Ovis aries: one gene and its partners. The protein of the gene in region 1 interacts with the protein of each later gene in a pairwise test. Links are inferred from orthologs where the notes say so. Each region holds a gene or a part of one and is shown in the gene's direction. Other genes may lie near its edges. The genes, in order: USHBP1, SEC14-like protein 4 and COPS4.

Region 1 (3,750 bases):
CACTTATATGTGGAATCTTAGAAAATGATACAAGGCTTCCCTGGTGGCTCAGTGGTAAAGAATCTGCCTGTCGATGCAGAGGACATTTGTTCAGTCTCTGGCCCAGGAAGATCGACGTGCCATGGAGCAACTGAGCCCATGCTCCACAGCGGCTGAGCCTGTGCTCTGGAGCCCAGGAGCCACAACTTCTGAGCTCATGTGCTGCAACTACTGAAGCCTGTGTGCCTCAAAACTGCTCCGCAACAAGAGCAGCCATGGCCATGAGAAGCCCACTCACCCCCAGTAGAGAGTATCCCCGCTCACCACAACTAGAGGAAAAAGCTGACGCAGCAGTGAAGAGCCAGCATGCTGCTGCTGCTAAGTCGCCTCAGTTGTGTCCGACTCTGTGCGACCCCATAGACGGCAGCCCACCAGGCTCCCCCGTCCCTGGGATTCTCCAGGCAAGAACACTGGAGTGGGCTGCCATTTCCTTCTCCAATGCATGAAAGTGAAAAGTGGAAGTGAAGTCGCTCAGTCGTGCCCGACTCTTAGCGACCCCATGGACTGCAGCCCACCAGGCTCCTCCATCCATGGGATTTTCCAGACAAGAGTACTGGAGTGGGCTGCCATTGCCTTCTCCGGAAGACCCAACATAGCCATAAATAAATAAATAAATAAATAATTTTTTAATTTAAAAATAAAATACAAGATGTGCAGTTAAATTTGGGGGGAAAACGATACAAATGATCTTACTTACAAAACAGAAATAGACTCACAGACATAAGAAAGCAAATTTATAGTTACCAAAGGGGAAGTAGGGGAGAGATAAATTAGGAGTTTGAGATGAACAGGTACACACTATATACAATAAACAATGAGGACCTACATAAGGCACAGGGAATTATATTCAGTATCTTGTAATCCTATGATGGAAAGAACCTGAGAAAGAATAAAAAAGAATTTGTAATATTCTAAAAGAAAAGAAGAAAAATAAAAACCTTTGCTGCATACCTGAAACTAATACAACATTGTAAATCAGCTATCGTTCAGAAAATTGTTTTTGTTTAGAAACAAAACAAAACAAAAACCTCCTGTGACACTGAAGGGAGACAAAGAAACTGAGGCTCATGTGCTGAGGCTCATCGCTTGCTCAGGGGTCCCAACCCCAGGTCTGTCCGTGACTTGAAGTGGAACGAGAACTCTCACACTGAAGGGACAGTCAGAGGAAAGAAGTTCATAGGGAAGCCAGGTGGAGAGCATCAGCCCAGAGTGGCACTCTAGCTTCCAAGAAATCAAATCCAAGGGTCAGAGTTGGAGGAGCCTCGGCCTGGGAAGCAGAGGCGAGGAGGGGCTGACATGTCGGGAGCTGGCCATGCGTCCTGTTGCTGGGGCTAGAGGAAGTCGCTGCCCTTGAGGAAGAAAGTACACAATAACAGGTCACATGGCCGGGGAGGGGGCTTCCTGTTTCCCGGCCCCTCCCAGGCTGGCCTCGGCCAGCCCGAGCTTGAGCGGGCAGTGGCCAGAGTGACTCCAAGAATGTCCTGGGACTTGGTTTTCGGACCAAGGTACCCCCCAGGAGGATAGGGAAGTAGAGCGGGCTGAGGGAACCAAATCCCAGGATTAGAATCTCTGGTTCAGGAGAGCCCTGAGGAGGAGAGAGGACTGTTGAACTCCTCCTCCCAAGCCCGGATAGGGGAGGGAGGGGAGCAAAGAGAGAGAGGAAAATCAAGGAGACGGAAGAGAAGGAAGAGGTCAGGGCAACCTTGAGAGGTAGTGAGCTGTCCATCAAGGGAGGCATTCAAATGTGCCAAATCTACATTGATAACTCAAGAGCCTTTTGGAGAAGTGAAATCAATGCCCATTTCACAGAAGACGAAATTAAGGTTGTCATTTGCTTTGAGCTGAAGTCAGGTTGTGGTTTTAGCGGGTGAGGATAAAGGAGGATTCAGAAGACACTGATTTCTGGATAACAATGAGTGCCAGGGCCACACGGCCCCGAAGCCGGCGAGGGAGACATGCTCTGCCCGTAAGTGTTCCCCCTCCCTGCCACACCCAACCCTGCAAGACTCCAGCACCCAGATCTGCTTGGCTCAGAGCTCAGCCCTGGGGATCATTTGCAGGGTGAGCTGGACCCTGTGGCAGAGAGTTCAGAGGAGGCTGAGGCAGCCAGTGGGAGCTCTGAGCCGGGCCCTGTGGCATCTCAAGATAGCACCAAGGTGGAACTGTTGGCCTCTGAGGTGGAGGCCAAAGGGCAGGGCTTGGAGAGCAGGTAAGGCCCACTTTGTCTGTGTCCCCCACTGCAGACCTGGCACATCTTTCCCACTCAGAGATGGGTTTATGTCCCTCCCCGACTCACACACATGCCATGGCTCCCATTGCCCTTGGCCTGGCTTTCAAGGCCCTGCAGTCCTAGCCTTGTTACAAACCCTCTGTGTGTTAGCTACCTCAAATGACCCCATTTCCAGAAATTTCCATCTCTCACCTCTTCACAGGACTGACAAAGAAGTTGATGGGGACTCTAGCAGGGGACCAGCCCCAGCCCCTGAGGGGCGGCCCCGTGAGGAAACCCACCAGGCCCCAGAGACAGTCCTGCAGGACGGGGAGAGCGTCCCCTCTGGACCTGATGTATTTCAGACTCTCCAGCAAGCGCTGAGCTCTCTGGAAGCAGCCGTTGCTGCCTGGCGCCACCGGCCCCCAAACTGTCCTGGGCCAGTGGAGGCAAAGGACGGAAGCGAGGGGGCATCAAAGCCCTGCTTGGAGCAGGAGGGGGCTGGGAGCTGCCAGCGGGAGGCAGCCCGATTGGCTGAAAGGAATGCCTGGCTGCGTTTGGCCTTGGGCAGCCGGGAGGATGAGCTGATCTGCACACAGAACTCCCTGCAGGCCTTCCAGGCTGAGAAGGAGATGCTGCAGAGAGAGGTGAGTTGGGCAGGGCTGCCTCCCAGGGATCCCTGGTGGGAGGGAGGCAGGCCTGGCATAAGACACATTGAATCGTTTGTTCATTTGTGAAGATTTTTTTGGAGCTTTGACTTGCCTTGCTGATGTTCAGTTGCTCACTCATGTCCAGCAGCCTGCAGCATGCCAGGCTTCTCTGTCTTTCACCATCTCCCAGAGTTTGCTCAAACTTATATCCATTGAGTCGGTGATGCTATCTAACCCTCTCATCCTCTGTCACCCTCTTCTCCTGCCTTCCAGTCTTTCCCAGCATCAGGGTCGTTTCCAATGAGTCGGCTCTTTGTATCAGGTGGCCAAAGTATTGGAGCTTCAACTTCAGCATCCGTCCTTCCAATGAGTAGTCAGGGCTGATTTCTTTTAGGATTGCTTGGTTTGATCTCCTTGCTATCCAAGGAATTCTCAAGAGTCTTTTCCAACACCACAGTTCAAAAGCATCAATTCTTTGGCGTTCAGCTTTCTTTATGGTCCAACTCTCACATCCATAATTGACTACTGGAGAAACCATAGCTTGACTGTACGGACCTTTGTCGGCAACCCCAAAGAGACAAAGATCCCTTGCAACTTTAGTTAAGAGGATCAGAGAGGCCCATCGAAGAAATGACACTTGAATAAAGACCACAAGGAGGCAAGGGAGGAAACATGTAAGGAACCGGGGTAGAGCATTTTAGGCTCTAGGAACAGTATACGCAAAGGCTGGAGGTTGGAGTGTGATTAGTGCGTTCAAGAAACAGTGAGGAGGCCAGTATGGGGCTGAGCAGGAGGAGACAAGGGTACCGAGGTGATGGGAGCAGATCCCGGAGGGCCTTGTGGGCCTCAAGG
Region 2 (3,650 bases), on another chromosome or scaffold:
TTTTCTTTTTTTTTTTAATGTGGAGTATAATTGCTTTACAATGCTGTTAGTTTCTGCTGTACAACAAAGTGAATCGGTTCTATGTATACATACATGCCCTTCCCCTTGCACTTCCCTCCCGCCCCTCTAGGTGATCACAGGGCCCTGAGCACCAACCCCCCGATCCCGCCCCTCTGGGTCATCAGGCCCCGAGCACCCACCCCCATCCCACCCCTCTGGGTCATCACGGGGCCGAGCACCCACCCCCCCATCCTGCATCCTGTCTGCCCCTCTGGGTCATCACGGGGCGAGCACCCACCCCCCATCCCGCCCCTCTGGGTCATCACGGGGCGAGCACCCACCCTCCCATCCCGCCCCTCTGGGTCATCAGGCCCCGAGCACCCACCCCCCCATCCTGCATCCTGTCTGCCCCTCTGGGTCATCACGGGGCGAGCACCCACCCTCCCATCCCGCCCCTCTGGGTCATCAGGCCCCGAGCACCCACCCCCAGCCTGCATCCTGTCTGCTTTACACAGCGAGTGTGTGTGTCAGGGCTGCTCCCTCGGTTTGCCCCAGCCTCCCCTTCCTCCCTGAGTCCACACATCCATTCTTTACATCTGCACCTCTATTCCTGCTCCGCCAATAGGTTCATCTGGACCATTTTGGGGACGGTAGATTTCTTAAAGCCACTTGATACAGCCTCAGACCTCTCTCCTCCTCCTTTGAATCTTTTTGGGTTTAAAAATCAGCTTTTCAGGTACCTCGTGGGTCTTAGATAAAAGAGTGAAACCGTATGCGCTGCAGGCGGCTGGGTCAGGGGAAGGAAAAGGACCTGAGACGGGAAGAGGGTGCAGGCGTCCGACGCCTCCCCTTCACAGTGCCGCAGATCTGCTGATGCGGCCCCGCCCCCTTCAGCTCAGCTCTCCTCCCAGCCTCACAGGCTCCAGACAGGGTCAAAGGCCAGGGCTGAGCTCAGCCAGAGGCTGAGGAGCTTTCCTGACCCTCTGAGGCTGATTCCTTTGTTTTCCTTTGTCCCCATCCCTCGTCTGGGTCCATCTCTCCCTCTTGGATGCCACCTCCACGAGGGCAGGGACTGTGCCTGCCCGGTACTCCAAGTCTGACACATAGTAAAAAAGTTTTGAGGACCCAGTAGCAGTGTCCAAACCACTGTCTATAGGACCAGAAACCACTCTCTGGTTCTCAGCAGAAAAATCTCCTAGAGACATCTCACAGATATTTTTAAAGTCAATAAAAGAATATCAGCTATGATTTATGCACTAACAAATTTGAAAATTTAAATGAAATGGATACATTCCTGGAAGAAGACAAAGAAAGCTCTCAACAGATCAGTAAATATGAAAGACATTTAAATGGTAATAAAAACGTCCCCTCCCCTCCAAACTCAGACCACAAATGGCTTTGCAGGTGAATTCCTCCAGTTTTAATACCAGCTAATTTCTAGGTATACAAATTGTTTGAGTTGTTTTCAAATATGTGAAAGAGTGAGATTTATTTTATGAGGCTTGGGCACGTTTGATTCCCAAGCTAGCTAAGGACAATAAAAGGAAATTCTAGGCTCATTTCACTTACTAATGTAGATGTAAAGATGTCTAAATAAAATATTGCATAACAGAATCCAAGAAGGTATTAAAATTATGCAATAGTATCAAGGAGAGTTTATCTTGGGTATGCAAGAAGTGTTCAACATCAGAAAACTTAGGGAATTCCCTGGTGGTCCAGTGGTTAGACTTAGAGCTTCCATTTCAGGGGGCACTGGTTCGCTCCCTCATCAGGACAATCCCACAAGTCATACAGCCAAAAAAAAGACAAGAAAGGAGAACCTATCAGTGTCATCGAACACAGTAATGGAGTTAAAGATAAGAAATTGTATGGCTATCTCGATGCAGAAAAGGGCCTCAGAAAAGGTTCAAATGTTATTTATAAGACAAAAGTCCTTCAGGACATCCTTTGAATAACTCTTAAAATGATAGTCCCAGATAAACTAAGGCTCAGAGAATGTAAGTGACTTACTCATGGTTGCACAGCAAATAAAAGGACAAAACTAGAGTTTAAGCTCAAATCTGACTCCAAAGCCCATGCTCTTACCCCTCCTAACACCGGGGGCATCTCTGCTTCCTGGGGGATGTTAAAGGTTGCAGGCTAGATCAGCTCTAGAGTGAACAAGTTTAAAAGGTCTGGAGGAATTTCTCTGGTGGTCCAGTGGCTAAGTCTCTGAGCTCTTTCTTAATGCAGGGGGCCCTGGTTTGATCCCTGGTCAGGGAACTAGATGCTACATGCCGCCACAGCATCCCACGTGCTGCAACAAAGACTCAAAAGTGCTGCTGCTAAGACCCGGCACAGCCAGATAAATAAATATCTAAAAAATAAAGGCCTGGATAGTATATGCTGCTGCTGCTGCTGCTGCTAAGTAGCTTCAGTCATGTCTGACTCTGAGGAATATGACTATGTAATGTGATAAATATCGTTGCCTTGGCAATCGTTGCTGCTGCTGCTGCTGCTAAGTCGCTTCAGTCGTGTCTGACTCTGTGTGACCCCATAGACGGCAGCCCACCAGGCTCCCCCGTCCCTGGGATTCTCCAGGCAAGAACACTGGAGTGGGTTGCCATTTCCTTCTCCAATGCATGATAGTGAAAAGTGAAAGTGAAGTCACTCAGTCGTGTCCAGCTCTTCGCGACCCCATGGACTGCAGCCCACCAGGCTCCTCCATCCATGGGATTTTCCAGGCAAGAGTGCTGGAGTGGGGTGCCATTGCTACTAGATACTATATTCAGTATCCTATAGTAAACCATTATGAAAAAGAACACATATGTATGTATAACTGGATCACTTTGCTGTAGAGCAGAAATTAATATGACATTATAAATCAACTATACTTCAATAAATCTCTTTTTTTAAGTCCTGGAAAATGAAATCAGGGGCCTTCCACAGTCTTCAAGAGGATTAAAGATCCTTGCTTTAAAAAAAAAAAAAAATTCCAGACTCCCGGTGTATTCCTGGAGCATCAGGAAGGTGTACCTTCCTTGCCCCTGGAGCTTATCTCTTTATGAGTTGTCAGAGAATAGCTTAGGCTGCATTCTGCCTCCAGCCTCCTCTTACCACTCCTTCTTGCAGCCCGGAACTTTGACCTGCAGAGATCAGAGGACATGCTCCGTAAGGTGAGACCCCGTGCTCACGAGCATCCTGTCTCCTACACGTTGCACCCCCGGAATTATCCCCAGGGATTATTGACAGAGGCCGGGGACTCTTGCCCAGTCCTTCCCCCTCCATCCCTTTCTGCCTCAGATGCGGGTCCCCCACAGCCCTCGTCCCGGCGTTCCCACCCCCAGTCCTATGTTGGTGGTGCCTGGGGTGGCTCTGGCGGGATCCTGGTGTCCGTGGGCAGAGGGGCGTGGCCTGTGAACCTCTGGGGCAGGCAGTCTGCAAGTCCAGCCGTGCCTCCGCAGCATGTGGAGTTCCGCAAGCAACAGGACCTGGACAACATCCTCGAGTGGAAGCCCTCAGAGGTGAGCCCACGTGGGGTCCCCCAGGCCACTGCTGCCCCCTCAACTCACCCACCGCGTCCAGCCGCCCGAGGGAGTGGGGACCTGGCCTGGGGGGCTGCTTCGAGTCAGGACCTCACCCCGTGTCCAGGTGGTCCAGCGGTACGACGC
Region 3 (3,650 bases), on another chromosome or scaffold:
TGATTCAGTGTCTATTCCATTACATGCTGGTTGAATGGTTTCCCCATTGCTTGTAGAGTAAAATTCTGCAAAGTCTCCAAAAGATCGTGCATGACCCTTTATGAATTTCTCTTTCCAGTCCAGCCCACAGGTCTTTTTGTTTTCTCCATCACTGTAAGTTCCTTCCCATATCAGACATTCCAGAATAGCCATCCCTCCACAGCTAGCCTCTCCAGTCATCTTCTATTGGTCCCCATGTCTTAGTTTCAACAGCGTTAATCAATAATGATTTTCCTGACTCCTCAGTTTAGGAGTAGCTCTAAGTTATATGTTCTTGTCACCCTGAATTTCTTGCTAGCATTAATCATAATTATTTCCATTTCTGTAGCTCTTTGTCTAAATGCCTGTTTCTGTTACCAAGCTCAGCTTCCTAGTGATCAATATTAAGTGTTTCTTGTTCTCCATATGTCCAACATCTTTTCCAATGCCCTGCCTATTGTAAGTGGGAAATAAATAATTATTGAATTAACAAATACAGTATATGATGAATAGTATAGCAGAGGGGTCACCAAGTAAAAGAACAATTTAAATTAATGTCTGCCAACTTGATAGAATATGGAATATTTTCCTTTCTAATTTTCTTAGATTAAAAAAATTACAATGGTAAATCTGCTCTTATTAAGAAGTAAATATTACACCAGTAACTAAAGGAAGAGTCTCTAATATCTTTTCACTGTCTCTTGCATTCCTCTAACCCCACCTGTCTGGCACAACTAATATCAGTCTGAAATCTTGTCTGTCTTTCTGCATGCTTATATAGAGAAGTAAAAAAAGGTAGGGACTTTAAAAAATGGCGTCCTGCCTTAAAGTACATAGTATTCTACAAAGTGTTTTTTTTTTTTTTTTAAGTTAATGTACCATGAACATATTTTCAAGTCACTAGATATAAAATCTAATTTATTTGTTTTAATAGTTGTGTGGTTATTTCATGGAGTTCAACTGTTCACCTGTTGCTAGACATTCAGGTGGTTTCCTTGTGCAAATCTTTAAGTCCTGGGACACTTAGTTCTCTAGAATGAAGTCTCAGAAGTTGCATACTTTGATGTTTCAGAGGATATATGTATTTTGATTAATAGCTACTCAGAAAGCTATAGCCATTTACGCTTCCACCAACATGAGAAATGAAGCTTTAACAATTGGATATTCTTTGTTTTTCATCTTTTGCCTGTTGTTGGGGGGAAATACTGCATTATTGTCTTACTGTACATTTCCTTGGCACTGGTGAAGTTTAAATCTTTCCATGTGTTGGTCATTAGCATTTTCTCATCTGTGAATTGTTATTTTTTCTTACATATTTCCTTCCTTTCTTCTCCATACCTTTCCTATATCAATGTTACAGATACTTTTCTCATTCTATCAGTTGAGTTTCTGTTAGGCAATGTGTACCATAAACCCTAACCCCAGACACATTTAAAAGTTTTTTTGCAGCCAAATCTGTCCATTTTTAATTTTATGACTTTTGTGTTTTCTGTATTGAGTAAGAAAGTCTCCTTCATTTTGGGGTTAAATTAATATTTAAAGTTTCTTTAATATTTTATTTATTGTTTTATATTTACAAATTCAGTCTGTAGTTCATTTTTGTGTATAATTTTAAATCATAGTCTAGCTGTTTTTTTTTAAAGATAGATTGCCAATTATGTGAGTATCATTTATTAAATAAAGCATCCTTTCTGATCTTTGAAGTGTATTAGGTTTCACGTGGTGCTAGTTGTAAAGAACCCGACTGCCAGTGCAGGAAATGTAAGAGACGTGGGCTTGATCCCTGGGTCAGGAAGATCCCGTGGAGTAGGGCAAGGCAACCTACTCCAGTATTCTTGCCCGGAGAATCCCATGGGCAGAGGAGCCTGGCGGGCTGCAGTCCGTAGAGCTGCAAAGAGTCAGACACAACTGAAGCGGCTTAGCACGCACACACGTTTCACAAATTAGTTTGGATCTCTTTCTGTTCCATGGATCTGTAACAATATTGCATAATTTATAAGAGAGTTTGCTCTTGATAGAGCAGACCCTGTCCCTCCACTACTATTTTTTAATTGAGTCGAGATTCACATCTGTGAGATTAATCATTCCGTATCATTTAGTATGTTTCCAGTGTTGTACAGCCACCATCTCTGCCTGGTTCCAGAATAGTTTTATCTTCTCAAAAAGAAGCCCCATGCCCCTTAAGCACTTACTCCTCATACCTCTCTCTCTCCAGGCCCTGGCAGCTAATTTCTGTTGTTTCTATGGATTTACCTGTTGTGGATATTTGATATGAATGAAACCATGCAATATGTGACCTTTCAGCTTCTTTCACGTAATGTAGTGTTTTCAAGTTTCACTCATGTTATAACATGTAGTCAGTACTTCATTCCTTTCTAAGGCTGAGTAATACTTAGTTGTGTAGATGTACTATAATCCTTCCCCTGTTTTTAATTTTCAAAATTATCTTGGCTATTCTCAAACATCAGTTTTTCCATATTAACTTCAGTAATTTTATCTTGTTCAGGAAGCAAAACAGAGAAAGGGGGGATTGTCTTGGAAATTTCTTTAAATTTATGTATTAATAGAAAAGGACTGATATTTCTAAGATACTACATCTTTCCAGCTGGAAATGTGGTTTGTATCTGCTCAAGTTATTTTATGTCCTTTAGTCAGATTTTATAGTTTTTTTTCCCGTCATTAATTCTGTGCCCAAATTTGTAAATGTTGATGCTGTTTTGGATGGAGCTGCTCCCTCCCTAGTTTTTCATTTCTAACTGCAGATTGCTGTGCAGAGAAAAGCCTGCTAGATCATGAGGTTTTTTGTTTGGAGTTTAAATATTAAAATATTCTTTAGAGTCCAGTAGAGACAGCGTGGAGTAGGTAAATAGGCTTACTTTCCCCAGTAGGTGGCAGTGTCTTATGAAGGTATAAAGTGAAAGAAAGTGAAAGTCGCTCAGTCCTGTCGAACTCTTTGTGACCCCACAGACTATACACTCCATGGAATTCTCTAGGCCAGAATACTGGAGTGGGTAGCCTTTCCCTTCTCCAGGGGATCTTCCCAATCCAAGGATCAAACCCAGGTCTCCTGCGTTGCCGGCAGATTTTTTACCAACTGAGCCACCAGGGAAGCCCAAGAATCCTGGAGTGGGTAGCCTGTCCCTCCTCCAGGGGATCTTAAGGTATAAACTGAGTGAGAAAAGCACTTCAGTGCTTTAACTTCAGTGAAGTCATCTTACTGTTGTGGATGAGGTGGTTTGATTGGTTTTATTTTGTATATTTTTGTTTTGTTTTATATTCTGTGCCAGTGACTGGAGTACTTTTCTTAACTGTTGCTTAATTAGCTTAATTTTATCAGCCAAGAGTTTCGTATTAAACTTTTAAAAATCAGCGTTTCTGTATTTTGTCTTCTAATTCACATTCACTATGGTCGCAAAGGAGTAACTTCAGCTTTGTACATTATTCCTTTTTTCTCTAGCACGAGAAGCCCTGCCAACATGGGACAAACAGATCCAGTCACTGTGTTTCCAAGTGAATAACCTGCTGGAGAAGATTAGCCAGACAGCACCAGAATGGACAGCTCAAGCCATGGAGGCCCAGATGGCTCAGTGACTCCTGCAGGCCGTCTGTGCACACTACACCTTTCCCATGTT

What was found.
Region 2: the proteins of USHBP1 (region 1) and SEC14-like protein 4 interact in binary tests that used the Homo sapiens proteins (3 or more experiments, as listed by UniProt). The two-hybrid records come from large-scale screens. The link is inferred for Ovis aries from reciprocal best matches to the Homo sapiens genes USHBP1 and SEC14L4.
Region 3: the proteins of USHBP1 (region 1) and COPS4 interact in binary tests that used the Homo sapiens proteins (3 or more experiments, as listed by UniProt). The two-hybrid records come from large-scale screens. The link is inferred for Ovis aries from reciprocal best matches to the Homo sapiens genes USHBP1 and COPS4.

Annotation. Positions count from the first base shown.
Region 1 is NC_056058.1:5,618,916-5,622,665, forward strand, and holds the start of USHBP1 (harmonin-binding protein USHBP1), read left to right. Parts: upstream 1-1,493; 5' UTR 1,494-1,951; coding exon 1,952-2,005; intron 2,006-2,099; coding exon 2,100-2,248; intron 2,249-2,471; coding exon 2,472-2,895; intron 2,896-3,750.
Region 2 is NC_056070.1:69,462,085-69,465,734, reverse strand, and holds part of SEC14-like protein 4, read left to right. Parts: intron 1-3,111; coding exon 3,112-3,155; intron 3,156-3,443; coding exon 3,444-3,503; intron 3,504-3,630; coding exon 3,631-3,650. UniProt on the Homo sapiens protein: Probable hydrophobic ligand-binding protein; may play a role in the transport of hydrophobic ligands like tocopherol, squalene and phospholipids.
Region 3 is NC_056059.1:98,576,391-98,580,040, forward strand, and holds part of COPS4 (COP9 signalosome complex subunit 4), read left to right. Parts: intron 1-3,475; coding exon 3,476-3,609; 3' UTR 3,610-3,650. UniProt on the Homo sapiens protein: Component of the COP9 signalosome complex (CSN), a complex involved in various cellular and developmental processes.